Linked DNA regions of Saccharomyces cerevisiae S288C. The gene in region 1 interacts genetically with each later gene. Each region holds a gene or a part of one and is shown in the gene's direction. Other genes may lie near its edges. The genes, in order: CUP9, RIM8 and RIM101.

Region 1 (3,498 bases):
TTATCGGTTGAAAGAAAATTACACATCGATTTATGCAGGCAATCAACTATAGTATACACAACATATACTCCTATGACTTGTAGATTTCTTGCCTAGGAAGACTAAATACGTTTAATTCTAAGATTAGGAGCCCATGCATTTAAAGTTGCTTTTTGCCTGTGCGGGACAATTTTATTAGTCAGTATGGACATCTCCGCGGGGAATTTTTTTATCGGCAGAGCTGTTTAGACAAAGGATATAGATAGTATAAGGTGTTAGTACACACATTTCAACATAGTTATATTAGGAAGATTGCCACAAATTTCCTCTTTTTTTTTTTTTTCTTGTTTTTATTACACCTCCGCCCCTTGAATACCTTAGAGGTTAAGAAGTGAAATGCCAAGAGAAAGCCTAATAGGACACACAGTATTTACCACGGGAAAAGCGCGGGATATTTGAATCAGCTGGAGATTATTATGTACGCCATGTATATTTTTAGAGACGGCTTGTAACGGGTGCCAAGATATTCCATATTTTTATGTCTCAAAAAGGAAGAAAAGAGCTACGAGCACGTGCAAATATATGAACTTCAACACCTGTAGAAACTCGATAGTGAATAAATCAATCACAGTGCTTTCCTTGAAATAAGCTTCTGTCTGAACTTTAACAGTGATTTTTTTTTTATAGAACAGGCCTTTTCATCTGCAGAGATATGTCTAGTCTCGTAGGTTTTGACTCGTAACTTTGACTTCTGCATCTGGATCGTCAAAGCAACCCATACTTGACTTGATTACATTAGCATCAAAGAAAATCGTGCCAACGCCTTTTAGTCATGTCGAACGGTAGAGGAGGAGAAAGAGGGAGCTATCAAATTTAAAATTCGCAAACAAGCTGTTGAGAGCGACATAATAGCAATATTGTCGGGCCCCTTAAACACGTTTCATTAGTGTTTTAAGTGCCAAGCCAATGTGTTAGTAAGCTTGTAAAGGAATGCACGTATTAGAAAGTGAGCAACTTAAAAGTGAGCAAATATGATTAAAGTAGTATGCCTCCGAAGCTCGTCTTGTACTGCAAACTAAGCACAGAATATGCCGCACAAATGTCGGTGCCTATTATACATATGCTTTTCGTTATGTGTCTTAACAGACCTGACCGTTAACGGCAACAGAGAAAAGGAGCACTACCGACGGCTTTTTGCTTCTGGCCTATTTAGTGCCTGAGAATTTTGTGCGTGTTTCCTAGTGTCCGGCGGGCTTGACCTAGTCCACACTTCCAACAAGCACAAGCAGCGTGCTTCCTCACACTGGCGAATGCACCCAGAGTCGGCGTTGCCCGAAGTAAGAACCCTACCGCTACTCTGGCGCAGGCGCAGAGGAGCCACAGCCCTTTAAGACGCAAAAAAAGTAAAGCGGCAAAAGAAAAAACTGTCACTTTCGGACCGTTGGGTTATCCACGGGGTTTTCTGAGCACTCATGATCGGTAGCGGTATATTTCTGATCTCGCTCATTTTCTGTCAAATCGTCCTGATAATGGACGAAGACTGTACGTAAAGGGCAATTTTAAGAGACACAAAAGAATCCCACGAGAATTACTACTGTTGATTTTTGTGATTGGCTAGATAAGAAACCTTATCCGCTCACGCGCGTATTACTTCCTTCTTCGGATTCAGATTTCTTTCTGTGGGAACGGGTCATTTCTGCCATCTTACGTCTCTCAGCTTTTCTCTTTTGTTGAACCTTAATTTATTCATGTACATCAAGCTGTAGTTTGTTTTTTTCTTTTGGTAATTAATTTTTGTCCTTTTGTTTTCTTACAGCGTGTATATATTAATGATTAATTTTCTATGACTGATTTCGTCGCGCCCGGCGTTTTCTTGTCTCTTAATGCCTCCTGTTTCTGTTAATTGGTAAGATTATGTTAAATTGGTCAAGATATATACTAATACAATTTTTTAGTTGATCTTCCCACCCTTGTTTTCAAGCGATACCACGCCTATCCAGTGCTACTGATCGCTACTTGCCGAGCCCCTACTTTTATGCTAACAACCTTCGAGAATAGTTACATTCGAAGATGAATTATAACTGCGAAATACAAAACAGGAACAGTAAGAATGTTGACAATCAAGTCAGTCTACCCCCTATCCAAGTTCTATTTAACTCCATAGAAAAACGGAGTATGCCCGAGTTGGCATTTTCGAACATAGAATACTCGCATGGGAACCTTCGGTCTAGTACCGAGGAACAAAACTATCCTGCGCCTGTGTTACTTCCACAGCATCATTCGATTGCGTATCCCGCAATTAATTCTGGCGGTACTAGTACTACTGCTACTCCTACTGCTTCTACAGTTGAAACGTCCAAGACGAGTAGCAGTGCTATGGATACACAATCTCAATATGGCAGTTCAAAGAAGTCAAAATCGGCGTCCGATGATGCAAAGCCCTGCTACAAATCCGCCCCAATATATGAAATAATCAATAAGGAAAAGGATGCGGGGGCACAATACAACAGGCCATTTTCGGATTTTGTAGAATCTAAATCAAGGAGGAAGCAAAATTCGGGCAGGAGGTCTAACCTGCCAAAGGAAACAGTGCAGATACTGAATACTTGGTTGCTGAACCACCTGAATAACCCCTACCCAACTCAACAAGAAAAGAGGGAGTTGTTAATCAAAACTGGGCTAACCAAGATTCAACTTTCTAATTGGTTCATAAATGTGAGAAGACGCAAAATATTTAGTGATTACTATACCCTGGTAAACTCAATTCCTAATGACAACGCGAATAATACCCCAGTGGAACGAGTTCAAAACGTCTCAGCATATCATAACACATTATCTGCCACAAATAATACTATGTACGATGCTACGTCAACCTGCTCCACGGATTATGAATTATCCAAGAGATTTGCTCATGCCCCCGTTACACGCCGTAAAAAACTAATTGATAGGCTGGAAGAATTGAAAAAGCTATCCAACCCTGATATGAATTGATCACTTATCAATGCATTACTTAAATATTCATATAATTATATCTATTACCATTTACATTTTATCGTTACTATATATAGTATTATCATGTCATTGAACGTGTTACGTCTATTATGTTACACTGATTTTTTTTTTTTTTTTTTACATAACAGCATCATGCAAGCCTTTAAAAATAATGTAGGTATGTATATATACAATAATATATATATATATATATATATCTGTGTGTAGAATCTTTCTCAGATATAAATTGATTGATTCTACTGAGGTACGTAGTTATCATCTTCTCTTTCTTCATCGAAACCTGGTCTGAAAGTACCCATTGCATCAGGAGGAGGGATATAATTATTCGTATTAGATTGTGAGCTACTGTTATCAAATCTGGAATGTGGTACGCCGACACGCTCTGCAAATGGAATGGCGAAGCCACCTCTGGATGCATCAAAATCGAACCTCAATTCATCGCTGACTTGACCACCGCTCTTACCACGACCAAACTGTCTTCCATCTTCAAAACCAGGATCTAGATCA
Region 2 (3,760 bases), on another chromosome or scaffold:
ATGGTCTTGTGCACCCACTGAAACAGGTTTGATAGCTGGTTTACGTGCATCTCAAACAGAGAAACTCAAACCATTCCCAGTTTCTCATAACCCGTCATTTGAGCGATTGCTAGTTGAAACTATATACAGCTAGTTAGTAAGATTTTAAAAGACGAAAAGAACGGAAAGTAGGACAACTACCAAAAAAAAAGATGGAAGGTTTCTTTGGTTAGTTAGCAGTATCCGCGTAATGCCTTAGACGTTTTTGATCAGAAAAAAATAAAACTTGATTTCGCCCAGGATCGAACTGGGGACGTTCTGCGTGTTAAGCAGATGCCATAACCGACTAGACCACGAAACCAGTTTTTTGATGTTTCGTTTAGGGACAAGAGTCCTATGAGAGTCCACTAAAATTCTAAAAATAATTGTATCAACAACCGTCATGCAGCTGTTGTATCAAGAATCGACCACCATCTATAGACTATTGTTCATAGCTGTATTACAATATCATATAAGATGTAAGGATAGAACGTGAAGATCGAGAAACAGTCAGCAGATTTAATGGAAGCTGAAATGCACGGATTGATAATGTAATAGAATAAGTGACAACATAAGAAATGAAAGAAAAAAAATAACATTAATATAATTTAGAAATGTTAGTTTCCTTCTATGAACTCTCGTATCCCTGGGGAGGACTTTCAATATATTCAGTATACCTACCGTTCAAATGATACTCTAAAATATCATCTATTAAGTGGTATTCAGGTTTTTCCCACGCAAGATTGAGTGCGTCAGGCAAAGCCACGATCGCAGATTACTCTCCTAACAATATTAAGATCGTCAAGAACATCCGGTTTTACTCAAGCGCTTAATACAACACGTCGGCTTTCGCTCAACTGCAGTATATTGTGTCTGTAACCTCTCCCGTCAAGTTTGCGCCACGGGCCCAATAACCAACTTCTGCGCCATTGTTACGGAAAAGTGGCCATCTTTGCTATGCTCGTAAGGCTAGCGCTCTCTAAGTACGCCAGCCCAAAAACTCCGTATCGCTCTTCATCGGAATTGCTATATCTACAGCCGACGGGCACTCTATGTATACTCATATCACAGCCACTGTTGCACTACATTATTCGCAGGGACTCCGAGATCGCTGAGCATGTTGCTAAGCAACTTACCAAGGTTGGAATGCATTATATAGTCCGATATAGACCCCGCTCGGACTATATTATATAAATTCAAATAGCACTTTCAACGAGTGTCTTAATCCGTCCTAGTTCCTGCTCTCGCTCCACGTTGTCATCCCACCCATTCGCACGGGTCTTCTGTGCGAATGAGCCACAACGGGGCCGAGTTCAGCGCGTGTCCGCCTACAACGTCCGCCAACTAGTGGCAATTGCTAGGCTACGCCGACCACGCTGACACGCACCGTTCTACTCGCTCTATGCTGCGGTGTGACGTGTGAACGCGCGATCGTTCGCAATCGTATCGTTTGCCAAGAAAAAAAGCCAATCGGAGAATCTGAAAATCGCTATTCGGCTTGCAGGTCGCACGCACTCAGAGTACGAAATGCCAAGTACCGGAATTTCCTTGGCCTTTTTTAAGTTTCTTCTCTTCTATTCTTTTTCCCCTTTCTTTCTTCCTTTGCTATCTGTCTGGTTTAAATAAACATAGTATTTTTTTGTGTCTAAGCCTCTTCCTCTTCTCTCGTACTTGCTCTACTACCACTTTACTTAATCGCCTTTCTTTGTTTTCTTTCTTCGTTATTTGTTCTTGGACTTTTCCGCTCCAATCCCAACGATTGGCTTCAAAACACGTTCTACTGTCTAGCAATTTCTGCAGGTGCCATTTTTCTTAGGCTTATACCCTTTCCTTTTCCCCTTACATTTGATTTCTTCTTCAAAGTTCCTTATAGTATTATTGTCTAAGCTCTATTGAGTCAAAAGTAACAATCTAGACGAAGAAAAAAAAAAAATAGAAAATAGACATCCCCGAATACGCATCATCTCACGCACGTACAAGATTTTAACGTTAAAGCCAAAGTACGCTAGTATAGTATCATCAGCATCACCCTCACTATCGGTAGCATTGACCAAACATGTCGTTACTGAGACTGTGGAACAAAGAATCAAGGGCACCATCAAAAATAAAGAGTCATGGTATTGTTGGCAGTTACGGCAACAGCATGCTGGCCCATAACAACGTGAAGCAATTTCGTATAGACATAGACGAACCGCATAGAGTATGGAAACCGAATGAAAGCATAACCGGAGAAGCGGTCATTGACATAAAGAGAGACATAACTAACGTAGCGATCAAATTATCGCTAGTATGTGAGGTTCGCGTGAAAACGGGGAACAGTCCAACCTCCAAGAATAAGAGAATTGAGAAAACCTTAGAGAAGTCGACGTTTCTTTATGGACAGGACTACGTAAAGACAGCTTTTTCGGCTAAGGAAAAGAAACCGCATGTTGACAAAACCACCATTCTCAATGGTTTAAGCAAGGGGGAACACAGGTTTCCCTTTAGGATACGAATACCACGAGGCAGAGGAATGTTGAGCTCTATAAAGTTCGAAAGGGGCTCGATAACATACTTCCTCTCTTGCACTTTAGAATCCCTCAACAACATCAACGGATTAAAAAAACCGGAAGCAAGATGCGAACGTGAGTTTGCAGTCATAGTTCCGCTGGACGTCTCGAGGCTGCCCAAGCCGAAAACTAAGACAGTGGTTTTACAATCAGCATCTATGGTCCAAAACAAAAAGAACAAATCTACAGAGGACGAATCCTCATCGTATACACAATTAACTCAAAAGTCTACTACTTCTAATTCTTCTAGCAGTTCAGTAAACTCCAAGACGTCCCCCTTACCAAATAAAACGGTGACTATATCCGTAGACATACCGCAGGCTGGATTCATGATTGGTGAAATTATCCCTATAGACGTTAAGATTGACCACTATAAGCCTTTCTATGCCCCTGCGGGTCTCACCACCACTTTGGTGAGGATATGTAGGGTGGGCGGTGCAGGCAAAGATGATCCTATGGAGACTTTCAGAAAAGATATATGTCAGAGTATCTCTCCTATATATATTAACCCTGAAACGTTGCAGTTTCAATCTAGAGTTTATCTGAAAGTGCCCCTTGATGCATTTTCGACCCTTACTACTGTGGGAAAATTTTTCTCCTTCCAATACTATATCGAGGTTATGGTTAACTTATCAAAAAAAAACGTGGTTTACACAGAATCTAATAGAATAATAGGAACTCCTATTGGAGAACAAAATGGCTTGGGCGTAGAGAATAATATCAACCGTATCCAAAGGAAAATGCTACGTATGGTCAATCCAGAAACGTTGGAGAACGATTCTGAGGGTTATGAATCCAGTATATTTTTCAAAGATATGGTAAATGTGGAAAAGCTAAAGAGACTGAGGAATGTAACTGGTATGTCCATAGAAACCGTCATAGGAACGACGAGATCCGAACAGCAGCAATCTGATGCAAGCATCCCATCCCAATCCTCAATCACGGCTCCTCAAAATTCTCCATCGAATTTAAGAGATTGGTTGGCCCCATTAAATGCATATGATAGTGACGATGTTCCAGTTCCAAAGTATTCGCCAAATGATAAAGTCAGTGTACCGTCGGAAGACAAACAAGAACTTGAACAAAAAAGACTACAACAGTTAGAAAGCGATCCTCCCCCTTGTGATGACTATTAAAAAGTGCAGGTAACAAGTCATATACTCGCAGCTTGCGCCGTGTTGGAACTAGGCGCC
Region 3 (3,760 bases), on another chromosome or scaffold:
TCTGTACAGAGTGTGGAAACGTCAACAGAGTCCAGTGTGTACGTTTCAAGTAGCTCTATCACGAGTAGTAGTAGTACGAGTATTGTGGACACAACCACAATCTCGCCGACTCTGACGTCAACGAGTACGACCCCATTGACAACCGCCTCAACCAGTACAACACCATCAACTGATATAACATCGGCACTGCCCACGACTACAAGCACAAAGTTGTCAACATCCATTCCCACAAGCACGACATCGTCAACCTCTACCACCACAAGTACCTCATCGTCGACTTCTACGACCGTAAGTGTCACATCATCAACATCTACCACCACAAGTACTACGTCGTCAACCCTCATTTCCACGAGCACATCATCATCATCATCATCAACTCCAACCACAACATCGTCAGCCCCCATTTCTACAAGCACGACGTCGTCAACTTCCACTTCAACAAGTACAACATCGCCAACTTCTTCTTCAGCACCTACAAGCTCGTCTAATACAACACCAACGAGCACAACGTTCACTACGACATCACCCAGTACAGCCCCTTCAAGCACTACGGTTACTTACACCAGTACCACAGCATCTCCAATAACGTCCACTATAACTTCTGTAAACCTGCAGACCTCCTTAAAGTATTCTGTGATAACAGTGACTTCAGTGCACACCATGGACACTAACATTTCGGAAATCACCTCGAGATATCTCACCATGAAAAAAGTAATAACGCAGATTTACTCTTCCACCCTCGGGGCTACTCCTACTTCTGCAGTGGCTACTACGTCTGCCAGCGTAGGTGGTAGAATAACAAACAATAACAATAGTAACACCACCAACAGCAATACACCAACTAACAAGTCTACAGAAAAGAAAGGGTACTGGGATTCGCCCGGGAAAATAGCCGCTACTTTCGTCGTGGTTGGAGTGGTATGTTTGGTAATTATATGCATACTAATATACTTAATACATCATTATAGAACAAGACCCGCTCGGAAGGCTCAAGATTTTGAGAATGAATATCAGAGTAAGTTTTACCAGTCCAAGTACCCAAATGAAGTTACCACTACCACGTTACACACGCCTTCACCATCTTCAAATTCAACTTTCTCGACCCCAAGATTAATATACACTGATGAAAAGGGACAAATTATGTCTGAATCACCATCCCCACGTCAATCTACGTATTCCTTGACTGCAGGCAGTCCACCAAATGACCCAAGCACGTTGGCAAGCCCATTTCACGATCCCATTCTTCCCAGAAGAACTTCTACTTTTCTTCATTCGCCCATTCAAAAGCAACACGAAAAAATGGAATCAAACGTTACTCTAGGTGAAGACACGGTACTGGTGGATCAGAGGCTAGACCCAAGTAAGATGCTTAACACTTTAGCAAATGACGATGCCACAAACCACTCTACCATTTCGTTATCAGACAACGTAGACTACTCCAGGAGGGTTCTGCGGCTAATGAACGAATAAAGACTGCAGCTCTTATACGTAATAAATATTCCACGAACGATAATACATACATAATTTTAATTCTGAACTTTGTTTTTTTCCTTCGAATGTTCTCAAAAGAATGCTTTACGACAATAACGCTGTTATCTTGTACATACTTTTCTCTGCCCAGTGACAGCAGGCACAATAATCTAAATACCGCGTTCGTGCGAGACATTCTCTGTGATTCACAGATTACGGCGCAGAAAATAAAATAGCCGTCCAGCTCGGAGTTTCTAAAATTACGTCCGAGATGACGGAGGCTTATAAAATCATTTCAGACGGGTGAGGGATGCCAATCTACGAGACAAAAGATAAAAAATTAAGACTCAATAATATAGAAAGGAACTAAATGTTTTCATAAGAGTCACCGTCTATAACCTTTTTTTTTTTTATTGGTCTGTTATCACTTCCACTGAGAAAGTAATATTGCTATTGCACAACACTTTTTGAACAAGTGCAAAGATAAAATACTGAAAACGGTAAAGTAGGTTTGTTTAAATTGACTTAAGATGGTGCCATTGGAAGATCTGCTTAATAAAGAAAATGGCACTGCCGCACCTCAACACAGCCGGGAGAGTATAGTAGAAAATGGGACAGACGTTTCTAACGTCACAAAGAAGGACGGGCTGCCCAGTCCTAACCTATCTAAAAGGTCTTCTGATTGTTCGAAGAGGCCTAGAATTAGGTGTACCACGGAAGCTATTGGCTTGAACGGTCAAGAAGATGAACGGATGTCACCAGGCAGCACTTCTTCATCATGCTTACCATATCATAGTACTTCACACTTGAACACTCCTCCATACGATCTATTGGGCGCTTCGGCAGTTTCACCCACCACATCATCTTCCTCTGACTCGTCCTCCTCCTCGCCATTGGCACAAGCGCATAACCCGGCAGGTGATGACGACGATGCGGATAATGACGGTGATTCTGAGGATATAACACTATATTGTAAATGGGACAACTGTGGTATGATTTTCAACCAACCAGAGCTGCTATATAATCATCTGTGTCATGACCATGTTGGCAGGAAGTCACATAAGAACCTACAATTGAATTGTCATTGGGGAGACTGTACCACGAAGACGGAGAAAAGGGACCATATCACCTCGCATTTGAGAGTTCACGTACCATTGAAACCGTTCGGTTGCTCTACGTGCTCCAAAAAGTTTAAACGTCCGCAAGATTTAAAAAAGCATTTGAAAATTCATCTGGAAAGTGGCGGTATTTTGAAAAGAAAGAGGGGACCCAAATGGGGCTCAAAAAGAACTTCTAAGAAAAACAAAAGTTGTGCAAGCGACGCAGTGTCGTCTTGTTCTGCATCTGTGCCTTCCGCTATAGCTGGTAGCTTTAAGTCACATTCTACTTCTCCACAGATATTACCCCCATTGCCCGTGGGTATATCTCAACATCTGCCTTCACAACAGCAGCAGCGGGCTATTTCCTTAAACCAACTATGCTCAGACGAGCTATCTCAGTATAAGCCGGTATATTCTCCACAATTGAGTGCCAGATTGCAAACGATCTTGCCGCCATTATACTACAATAACGGCAGCACGGTAAGCCAAGGTGCCAACAGTCGGAGCATGAATGTCTACGAGGACGGTTGTTCTAATAAGACCATAGCAAACGCCACCCAATTCTTCACCAAACTATCGAGAAATATGACAAATAACTACATTTTGCAACAAAGCGGTGGTAGTACTGAGTCCTCGTCATCATCTGGGCGCATCCCCGTAGCACAAACAAGCTATGTGCAGCCACCTAATGCTCCTTCATACCAATCCGTACAAGGTGGTAGCTCTATTTCGGCCACTGCAAATACAGCAACTTATGTGCCAGTACGGTTGGCCAAGTATCCAACTGGTCCTTCGCTTACTGAACATTTGCCACCTTTACATTCGAACACTGCCGGTGGTGTTTTCAACCGCCAATCACAGTATGCTATGCCACACTATCCATCTGTTCGTGCTGCGCCTAGCTATTCCTCCAGTGGCTGTTCTATATTACCGCCTCTACAATCAAAGATACCAATGTTACCATCGCGCCGTACAATGGCAGGTGGAACTTCATTGAAGCCTAACTGGGAATTTAGCCTGAACCAAAAAAGCTGTACTAATGATATTATCATGAGTAAGCTGGCGATTGAAGAAGTAGATGACGAAAGCGAGATAGAGGATGATTTCGTAGAGATGTTGGGTATAGTGAACATTATCAAGGACTACTTGTTGTGCTGTGTCATGGAAGATTTAGATGATGAAGAAAGTGA

Evidence for each region.
Region 2: mutations in CUP9 (region 1) and RIM8 together harm fitness more than expected from each alone (negative genetic interaction), as found in Saccharomyces cerevisiae (2 studies listed by BioGRID).
Region 3: mutations in CUP9 (region 1) and RIM101 together harm fitness more than expected from each alone (negative genetic interaction), as found in Saccharomyces cerevisiae (4 studies listed by BioGRID).

Annotation. Positions count from the first base shown.
Region 1 is NC_001148.4:212,514-216,011, reverse strand, and holds CUP9 (Cup9p), read left to right. Parts: upstream 1-2,049; coding exon 2,050-2,970; downstream 2,971-3,498. Other genes in the region: nuclear cap-binding protein subunit CBC2, read right to left, coding at 3,228-3,498. UniProt on the Saccharomyces cerevisiae protein: Probable DNA-binding protein which plays a role in protecting yeast cells against copper toxicity. May regulate the expression of important copper homeostatic genes.
Region 2 is NC_001139.9:412,028-415,787, forward strand, and holds RIM8 (Rim8p), read left to right. Parts: upstream 1-2,074; coding exon 2,075-3,703; downstream 3,704-3,760. Other genes in the region: N-acetylglucosaminyldiphosphodolichol N-acetylglucosaminyltransferase catalytic subunit ALG13, read left to right, coding at 1-133.
Region 3 is NC_001140.6:49,111-52,870, forward strand, and holds the start of RIM101 (alkaline-responsive transcriptional regulator RIM101), read left to right. Parts: upstream 1-2,000; coding exon 2,001-3,760. Other genes in the region: WSC4 (Wsc4p), read left to right, coding at 1-1,470. UniProt on the Saccharomyces cerevisiae protein: Transcription factor that mediates regulation of both acid- and alkaline-expressed genes in response to ambient pH.